Linked DNA regions of Drosophila melanogaster. Each later gene encodes a partner of the first gene's protein in a complex. Each region holds a gene or a part of one and is shown on either strand. Other genes may lie near its edges. The genes, in order: ND-13B and ND-30. A codon is read from its position in the direction of its gene.

The links.
Region 2: the proteins of ND-13B (region 1) and ND-30 are in contact, whole or in part, in a cryo-EM structure (PDB 8ESW), measured with the Drosophila melanogaster proteins. Residues at the interface, in NP_648409.1 of Drosophila melanogaster: Tyr28 (codon at 1,170), Ser43 (codon at 1,125), Tyr44 (codon at 1,122), Tyr47 (codon at 1,113), Thr48 (codon at 1,110), Leu51 (codon at 1,101), Arg55 (codon at 1,089), Cys74 (codon at 833), Gly75 (codon at 830), Glu79 (codon at 818), Gln83 (codon at 806), Ala84 (codon at 803), Asn86 (codon at 797), Glu87 (codon at 794), Ile89 (codon at 788), Leu90 (codon at 785), Lys93 (codon at 776), Met94 (codon at 773), Trp97 (codon at 764), Lys98 (codon at 761), Pro99 (codon at 758), Trp100 (codon at 755), Glu101 (codon at 752), Lys102 (codon at 749), Leu103 (codon at 746), Val104 (codon at 743), Gln105 (codon at 740), Ala106 (codon at 737), Ala107 (codon at 734), Pro108 (codon at 731); in NP_647775.1 of Drosophila melanogaster: Tyr66 (codon at 1,217), Glu69 (codon at 1,208), Cys70 (codon at 1,205), Leu71 (codon at 1,202), Pro72 (codon at 1,199), Lys73 (codon at 1,196), Tyr74 (codon at 1,193), Val75 (codon at 1,190), Gln76 (codon at 1,187), Lys77 (codon at 1,184), Leu89 (codon at 1,148), Ile90 (codon at 1,145), Ala91 (codon at 1,142), Pro92 (codon at 1,139), Glu93 (codon at 1,136), Val96 (codon at 1,127), Pro97 (codon at 1,124), Gln100 (codon at 1,115), Phe101 (codon at 1,112), Asp104 (codon at 1,103), His105 (codon at 1,100), His106 (codon at 1,097), Gln107 (codon at 1,094), Gln109 (codon at 1,088), Val119 (codon at 1,058), Val121 (codon at 1,052), Cys123 (codon at 1,046), Arg124 (codon at 1,043), Asn126 (codon at 1,037), Glu129 (codon at 1,028).

What each region holds. Positions count from the first base shown.
Region 1 is NT_037436.4:10,692,638-10,696,132, forward strand, and holds ND-13B (NADH dehydrogenase (ubiquinone) 13 kDa B subunit), read right to left. Parts: upstream 1,472-3,495; 5' UTR 1,381-1,471; coding exon 1,360-1,380; intron 1,231-1,359; coding exon 1,069-1,230; intron 870-1,068; coding exon 678-869; 3' UTR 547-677; downstream 1-546. Other genes in the region: CG33493 (uncharacterized protein), read right to left, coding at 178-486; NijA (ninjurin A), read right to left, coding at 1,898-2,089, 2,387-2,778, 2,992-3,067.
Region 2 is NT_037436.4:3,157,943-3,161,475, forward strand, and holds ND-30 (NADH dehydrogenase (ubiquinone) 30 kDa subunit), read right to left. Parts: upstream 1,637-3,533; 5' UTR 1,531-1,636; coding exon 1,467-1,530; intron 1,407-1,466; coding exon 1,332-1,406; intron 1,274-1,331; coding exon 615-1,273; 3' UTR 543-614; downstream 1-542. Other genes in the region: CG15812 (uncharacterized protein), read left to right, coding at 2,155-2,157, 2,229-3,533. UniProt on the Drosophila melanogaster protein: Core subunit of the mitochondrial membrane respiratory chain NADH dehydrogenase (Complex I) that is believed to belong to the minimal assembly required for catalysis. Complex I functions in the transfer of electrons from NADH to the respiratory chain.

The DNA.
Region 1 (3,495 bases):
AAGGTCAAAATGTTATCTATCGTCAGTGGGATTGTTTATACAGTGGCCGTCTGTCTCCTCACGCAATCGCTCGATTTTGTCCCCGGCCGCCCGCCTGCTGATGTCTGGAATTCTCACGGCTCTATTTGTCGAATGTAATACGCACGCCCACGCGAAAGTCCTGCTCCGAACCTTGGATTACGAGGGATACGCATTGGTCTTATAGTCATGGTGTAGATGCAGTTTGGCCTGGTATCTGGTGCTGCCCGTACCCGATTGTGTTCCATGTGTTCGATGCACCAGGCTGGCAGAGCCATCGATCTTCGTCCGACTGTCCGCACTGCTCCATAGCCCGGCGATGGCCTCCAGAGCCAGTTCCGTCTCCTCATCGTTGTCGTCGTGCTCCGCCGAAACCGTGAGATCGATCTGACGACGCTGGCGAGGCACCGATGCCGCCAAGCCGATGGAGATGACGAGCAGTAGCAGAAGGTACTGAAGCGCACGCATGTTGAAAACGAACTGAGATCGTCAGTGGATCGATTGCTTGAATGTGGCTGATCTTGTGGTGCTGTTCCAGGTTTATTCATTTGATTAAAGCTCAATTATTTTTTAGCTGATAAAGCCACTGGCTTATCAACGGATTTATTGCTCTCTTCTCATTTCGATTTGCTGTAGATTAATTAGTACTAAGTGTGAATCTAAACCTTGGGCTCCATGATCTGGGCTGGTGGCCAGTCCCACTGCTTGGCAGGCGCGGCTTGGACCAACTTCTCCCAGGGCTTCCAGCCGAGCATTTTGCGCGCAAGGATCAGCTCGTTCTCGGCCTGGACAATTAGCTCCTCCACTTGACCGCAACCGACGGCCTTTTCCAGGGCAGTGATGTCCTTGTGCTGCGGGTGAGAAAGTTAGAGATTGTATTAAAAAAAAGGAAATTGGAGGATGATCAAGAAAATAACAGTCTTTAATACAAATAACAAGTGTAAGGATCTGTATCTTGGTTGCACGGTCTATATAGGTGCTACATATGCTTTGATGAAGGTACCATCCACTTGGTAAACCCAAATTAGCAAAGTTTCCAAATAATCTTACTTGGGCCACAGAATCGGCGCGCTGCTTGACCAGTTGCTCCGTGTACTTGCGGTAGCTGGCGTCCTGTGGCATCTTGGACACCGCCCGCAGAATCTTGCCATACAGAGCACTCAGCGTGTGGTGTGGATTGGTGGACACGGCGAGTCCAGTCAAACCTGTGGACTGCAGAAGGAAGCGATGACATAACAATAACAATTGAAGAAACGCCGCGAAACTCAAGCGGGGATTAGTCGGTCATTTCTCTTTTGTAGGTTCTCGAGCAGGTGCTTCACTTGAGTTCCTTGAACTTACCGCCTTAATGATCTTGGCCATGTTTGCAATAGACTTTTAGCCGAAAATGCTTAATTTTCCGCACGACTTTATTTTGTAACAGCTGTTGCCCAGTGCTGTGAAGTGTCGAGGCTATAACACAGTGCTGTGAAATGCCACTACGTAAACTATCGCAACTAAACGATAGTTTGGCGCCAAAAATTGATTTAAATAGTATAAATAGAATTGCATTTGAGTTATTAGAATTTAATATTAATAACAAAGAATATCCAAAGAACAACTGGTTTATAAGTATTTAATATTAATGTGAACGTATCTTATAACATTTAAGAAAGTTTATTCATTTCTTACTTAAAACGCCCAAAAGTAAGAAAAACAGCATTTCAGTTATTTAAATAAGCGAGAAATGCTCGTGGGATTTTATTTATCACAATTCATTGTTGCGTTTAGAAAAATGAGTCGCTGAGTGAAATTTAACAAGGTTTGAACAATGTGAGTATTATCTAAAGATGCATCTGTGTGTTCATAATACTAAAGTCTATTTAAAATACAAGTTAAACTATGTTGTATTGGCGGGTAAAGCAGGCACAGTATCTCTGTCCACAGTAAAGGCTGATATTAGAACATTGACCACAGTGACTATAAAAATGCCGCTAACTGTATAATTATTGATCCTGTTCGCCCGGCAGATATCGTGACCGTTTTTGATGTTATACTGGCCATTCAATATAAGGCCCACGCCCACAGCAATCTGAAATGACAAAGAAATTATGAGTGTGTGTCATCAAAAATATGGTTATTAAGCAAAACAGTGAAATCTGGTTAAGATAAACTACTTTGTTTTTATACTACAATAAATGGGCTAAAACCTTTGATTACTTTGTATATATTTGTTTTTAATGAATTTTCTTATCATCTTAAGAATATTCTGATAGTTTAGAAATGTAAGTTATACATGTGTGGAATTTACTTATCAAATCTTGCGTTCATTGGATATTTAAGCTTGATTTTACAAATATATGCATTATTTGCACCTATAGAAATTTACCTGGAATATAATGCTGAGTGAGATGAACAGCAGACTGGGATAAAAGTAAGGATGTTGTGAGCTCGTCTCCAGAACATAACGCAATTGATTTGCATTCGCGGAGAGAAGTGCCAGGTCCATCATTCCCTGAGCCAGGGTCTTCTTGTGCTGATATGCATTCACATCGGGTATGGGTGTCTCCACGCCGTTGATCGTCACAAAACCGGGTCCATTGTATCCCGGAAAGGAGAAACTGGGTCGTCTTCCTCCATTGGGAACGTTTACATTCACATTGCCGCCGTTGCCTCCGTTGCCTCCAACAGTTGAAAAAAGACCGTCATCCACGCCGGGATTATCATTGCCATCTTTAACAAAGGGACGATCGTCGTTGTCATCATCATCGGTTTCGGGAACTACAAATGAAGCAAATTATTAAGTCACTTAAAATCGATTACCACCAGCTTAAGCTACTTACACCATCAATTGTGATTTACCCAAATAGTTTAAAGAGCGCGGTTTTAAGCAGCATTAGTCACAAGCACAATTAAAAAACATAGACAAGCACAGAAAAATGTTCTAACTTTTTGTTTCTTTTTGAAGATAAACGAATAAGTTGGCATACGAACCTGCTCTGGGCACTCGAAGAGTATTACGTGTCCGTCCGTCGATTGCACCGCCATAGCTGTGTTTGCTGATATTTTCCTGTAAAATTTCAATAAAATCATTTCCGGAATATTAACAACTTTGCTTGCAAATCCATTGTTGTCTCAAAATGCAAATTCATTTAGCCAAACGGCGCACAGCTTCTGTTCTGTGCAAGTTTTGATTAATGCAATTATATGCTAAGTAGTTTTTATCTGTAGGATTATGTACTTGCAATATGTTTTACAACTGTTCAGTAACTTCGAACACAAAAAAAACGATAAGCTTCAGGGACACAAATGCTTTGAAAATTGCGACAAACGTGATTTTTTTCATAAATAAAATAGTATTTCAAACGATAAGAAAGTAGTAATATTAAGTAACTGGGCTAAATTCTATGATCATGCTCTATTTGCAAGAAAATGTTGCAATTGAAAAATATTTTTTAAGTCTGCCAGTTGCTATGAGTCACAGAAATAGATTTTCCC
Region 2 (3,533 bases), 7.5 Mb from region 1:
GGAATGCGGGGTGAAAACTTTTTTAAATCGCTAAATGTAATAATATGTTTATGTGTGTGTATCTATGTACTATATGTGTATGTTCTTGTACAAAAAAAAAACCGAACTAAAATCTAACAAAAATAAAACGTTGACGACGGTGCAGCTCGAAGCTCGAATTACGATAAGGTTTTCACCAAGTACAACTATCACTACCACTACCCCAATCCGCTCCGGCCTAAACTTAAGTACGTCCTTGCACCTGTACTTTCGCCGGGCACCGCTGCGCAGGCGCACGAATTGTCTAGTGGCCCACACTTGTTTTACTTAACGTTTTATATCTATGTATGTATGTACGTATATGCACATGGCCCTCGAGGAGGTTTTCGGATGTGCTAGATCCGGCGAATTCGTTTAATTCTCAGTGTAAACTACCATGTATGTAAACAATACGGAAATCAATAAATACTTGTGACCCTCTGGTTTGATACGAATTGCGTTTTCATGTGGAAGTAGTTTAGGAACGAGCCAAGAAAGCTAAATAGCTAAGTAGACCGTCGTTTCCATTATGTTTAAACATCTCATAGTGATCACGTTTTATTGATCTAATTACCATTTAACAAACCGACTTCGGATTACTTCTTGGCTGGAGCCTGTGGCGGAACTACCTCGGCGGGGGGATTAGCGTTGCGGAAGTTGGGGAACTGTTCCCAAGGCGCCGACAAGTCAAACTTCCTGAACTCCTGGGCCAACTCCAAGGGCTCGCAGACGACTCGCTTCTTCTCATCATCGTAGCGCAGCTCTACGTAGCCGGACAGCGGGAAGTCGCGGCGCTGGGGATGTCCCTCAAAACCGTAATCGGTCAGGATGCGGCGCAAGTCGGGATGGTTGGCAAAGAACACGCCGTACATGTCCCAGATCTCACGTTCGTACCAGTTGGCCGCCTTATGCACCTCGCAGGCGGAGTCCAGAGGAGTCAGCTCATCGGTGTAGGTCTTAACGCGGATGCGCGAATTGTAGCGCAGCGAGAGCAAATTGTAGACCACCTCGAATCGGTTCTTGCGACAGGGCACATCCACGCCGGCAATGTCAACCAGGTTGGTAAACTGCGCCTGATGATGATCCTTAAGGAACTGCAGCACGGGCACCACGCCCTCTGGCGCAATAAGCACCTCCAGCTCATCGCCGGCGGTCAGCTGCACCTTCTGCACGTACTTGGGCAGGCACTCGGCCACATAGCGCCCGAAATCGGAGAGATGCGAGCGAGCGACTGCGTCCGGCTGGCGGACAGTGGCTGTGGGTGGAATGTCTTACATGTAATTGACACCGCGATAAAGTCGACTTTTACCTACGCTTATCCGCCTTCTTAGGCTCCACTGGCGTTGTACTGGCCATCCGAAGAGCAGTGGATCCAGCAGCGGGCACCACTGATTGTTGAAGGGTTAGAATAGATCAGTTGAAGCTCTAGAGGCAAGGCATTTACCAACCATGTTTGGCCGACAGAGCGGCGACTGCGGCACGGGCACCCAGATTCCTGATTAAGGCCGCCATTCTACAAACTGTTCAATATAAATTCAACAATTTGCTCCGTTTTTGACAATTTATGTAATGCTAAAATGTCAATATAGTTGTTGGAGCCTAGGGTTGTCAGTGCGCCAAATTAATCTACTCGACAGCCCTACTTCGGTATTTTGACAATTTCGGTACAACACAAATACCGCACATACATTATTGTATTTCGTGTACGTTAACACCGAATTATTCTTCATTAAAAACCTCAACATTTTTTTGGAATATTTGCTTAAATGATTTATATAAAAAATAAATATACCCTACTACTTGATTTATTATTTAATTAAAAATACCAACACGTTCCTTGAAGTACAGCAGATGGAAAACATTTACAATTATTCTTCATTACCAACCACAAAACTTTTCTAGAATATTTGGTTAAATGATTTTTAAAAAAAAGAAATGTACCCTACTACTTCATTTATTATTTCATTAAAAATACCAACACGTTCCTTGAAGTACATCTCATGGAAAACATACCGAAATACCGAGATCTTAGGTGCATTCGACTACCCTGGCTGAAAACTGTGACAACGCGTTGCGTTTGGAATTGCGAGAATTGAAAACTTCTTGGAAATCAATTGGAAATCAAAACACAACAAGATGGTAAGTGAAACGCGTCCTCCCAAATCCCCGGGATAAGTGAAATTTAAATCTACAATCGTCGCCGTTTGCAGAATCATCTTAAGTGGATGGGCCACTCATCCACGATAATGGACATCCAGCGCTCGCTGCGTAATGATAATCAGCACTGCGAGGTGGTGCTGGCCTCCAGGGACGGCGTTCGAGTGCGCGCCCATCTATTCGTGCTAAGCACTTGCAGCGAACTGATGCGCAACCTCCTGGTGGACGTTCCGCGCGGCCAGGAGGCAACCATAATGCTGCCCGACATCCGCGGAGATTTGCTGGAGTGCATGCTGTCCTTCATTTACATGGGCGAGACTAGCCTGCCCTCCGCGTCGCTCCCCGAGTTCCTGGAGGCCATTAACCTCCTCGGCATCAAATCTGCCATCAGCTTTGAGTGCAATCCATCGGCTAGTCCACCCAGTGTCGATGTAGAGAACCATTCGTTAGCCGTGGAGTCGGCCAAGTCCATTACAGGACTCCAAATCGCTGAGGCCGAGCTGCTGGACGACGAGGAAGAGCCACATCCGATGGTCTCCGTCCCAGCCACTACACTCGCGGGTTCTCAACACCAGCCCAGCCATTCCAGTCGGTCATTGGAGTACATTGATGTCTACGAGCCGCCGAAGATCACCTACTCCATCGAGCACATGGACGGAAGTTCCAGCGGCAACCAATTTATACTCACCGAGAACACGGGCACTTTCACCATAACGCAGTCAGCATCGAGTTTGTCCAAAATTGAGGCAGATGAAACGGGTACCAGTGGCGCTGAAGTGGACCTGGGCGATGATGACGTGGATGCGGACCTTGCTGAGGATTCTGAGGAGCACGAATCACAAATGATCGACGAGGAGTTCGCGCAAGCCGATCCTCTTATGGAACTAGAAGCTGGTACTGAAATGGACGACGATGACGACGTGCACGACCAACTTGTGGACGAGGAAATAGACGATAAGCCCCGCAAGTTGGGCGGGGGAAAGACGCGAATCCGTCGCCCCATAAGTGCGAAGGCTGTCAAACGATTGTCCGATTGCAAGCCAACGCGAATCCAGCAGTTCGCAGCTCTGAAACGTGAGGTAAAAGACGATATCAACGATGCTTTGGATCTGGCGGCCGACGCGGTTATCATCGAGGGCTTAAGCCTACAAAAGGCCGCCGACCGGTTTGATATCTCCAAGACAGTCCTCTGGAGACGCGTGCGCACTAATCCCGCCTACATGCGAAACAATCGGGAACGACCATCCCTGCAAGAGGCCTACGAGCGACTGAAGAATGGACATTCTTTAAAGAGCATCAGCAGTGAGTTGCAAATCCCCATGTCCACGTTGCACAGACACAAGGTTCGTCTGTCCGCC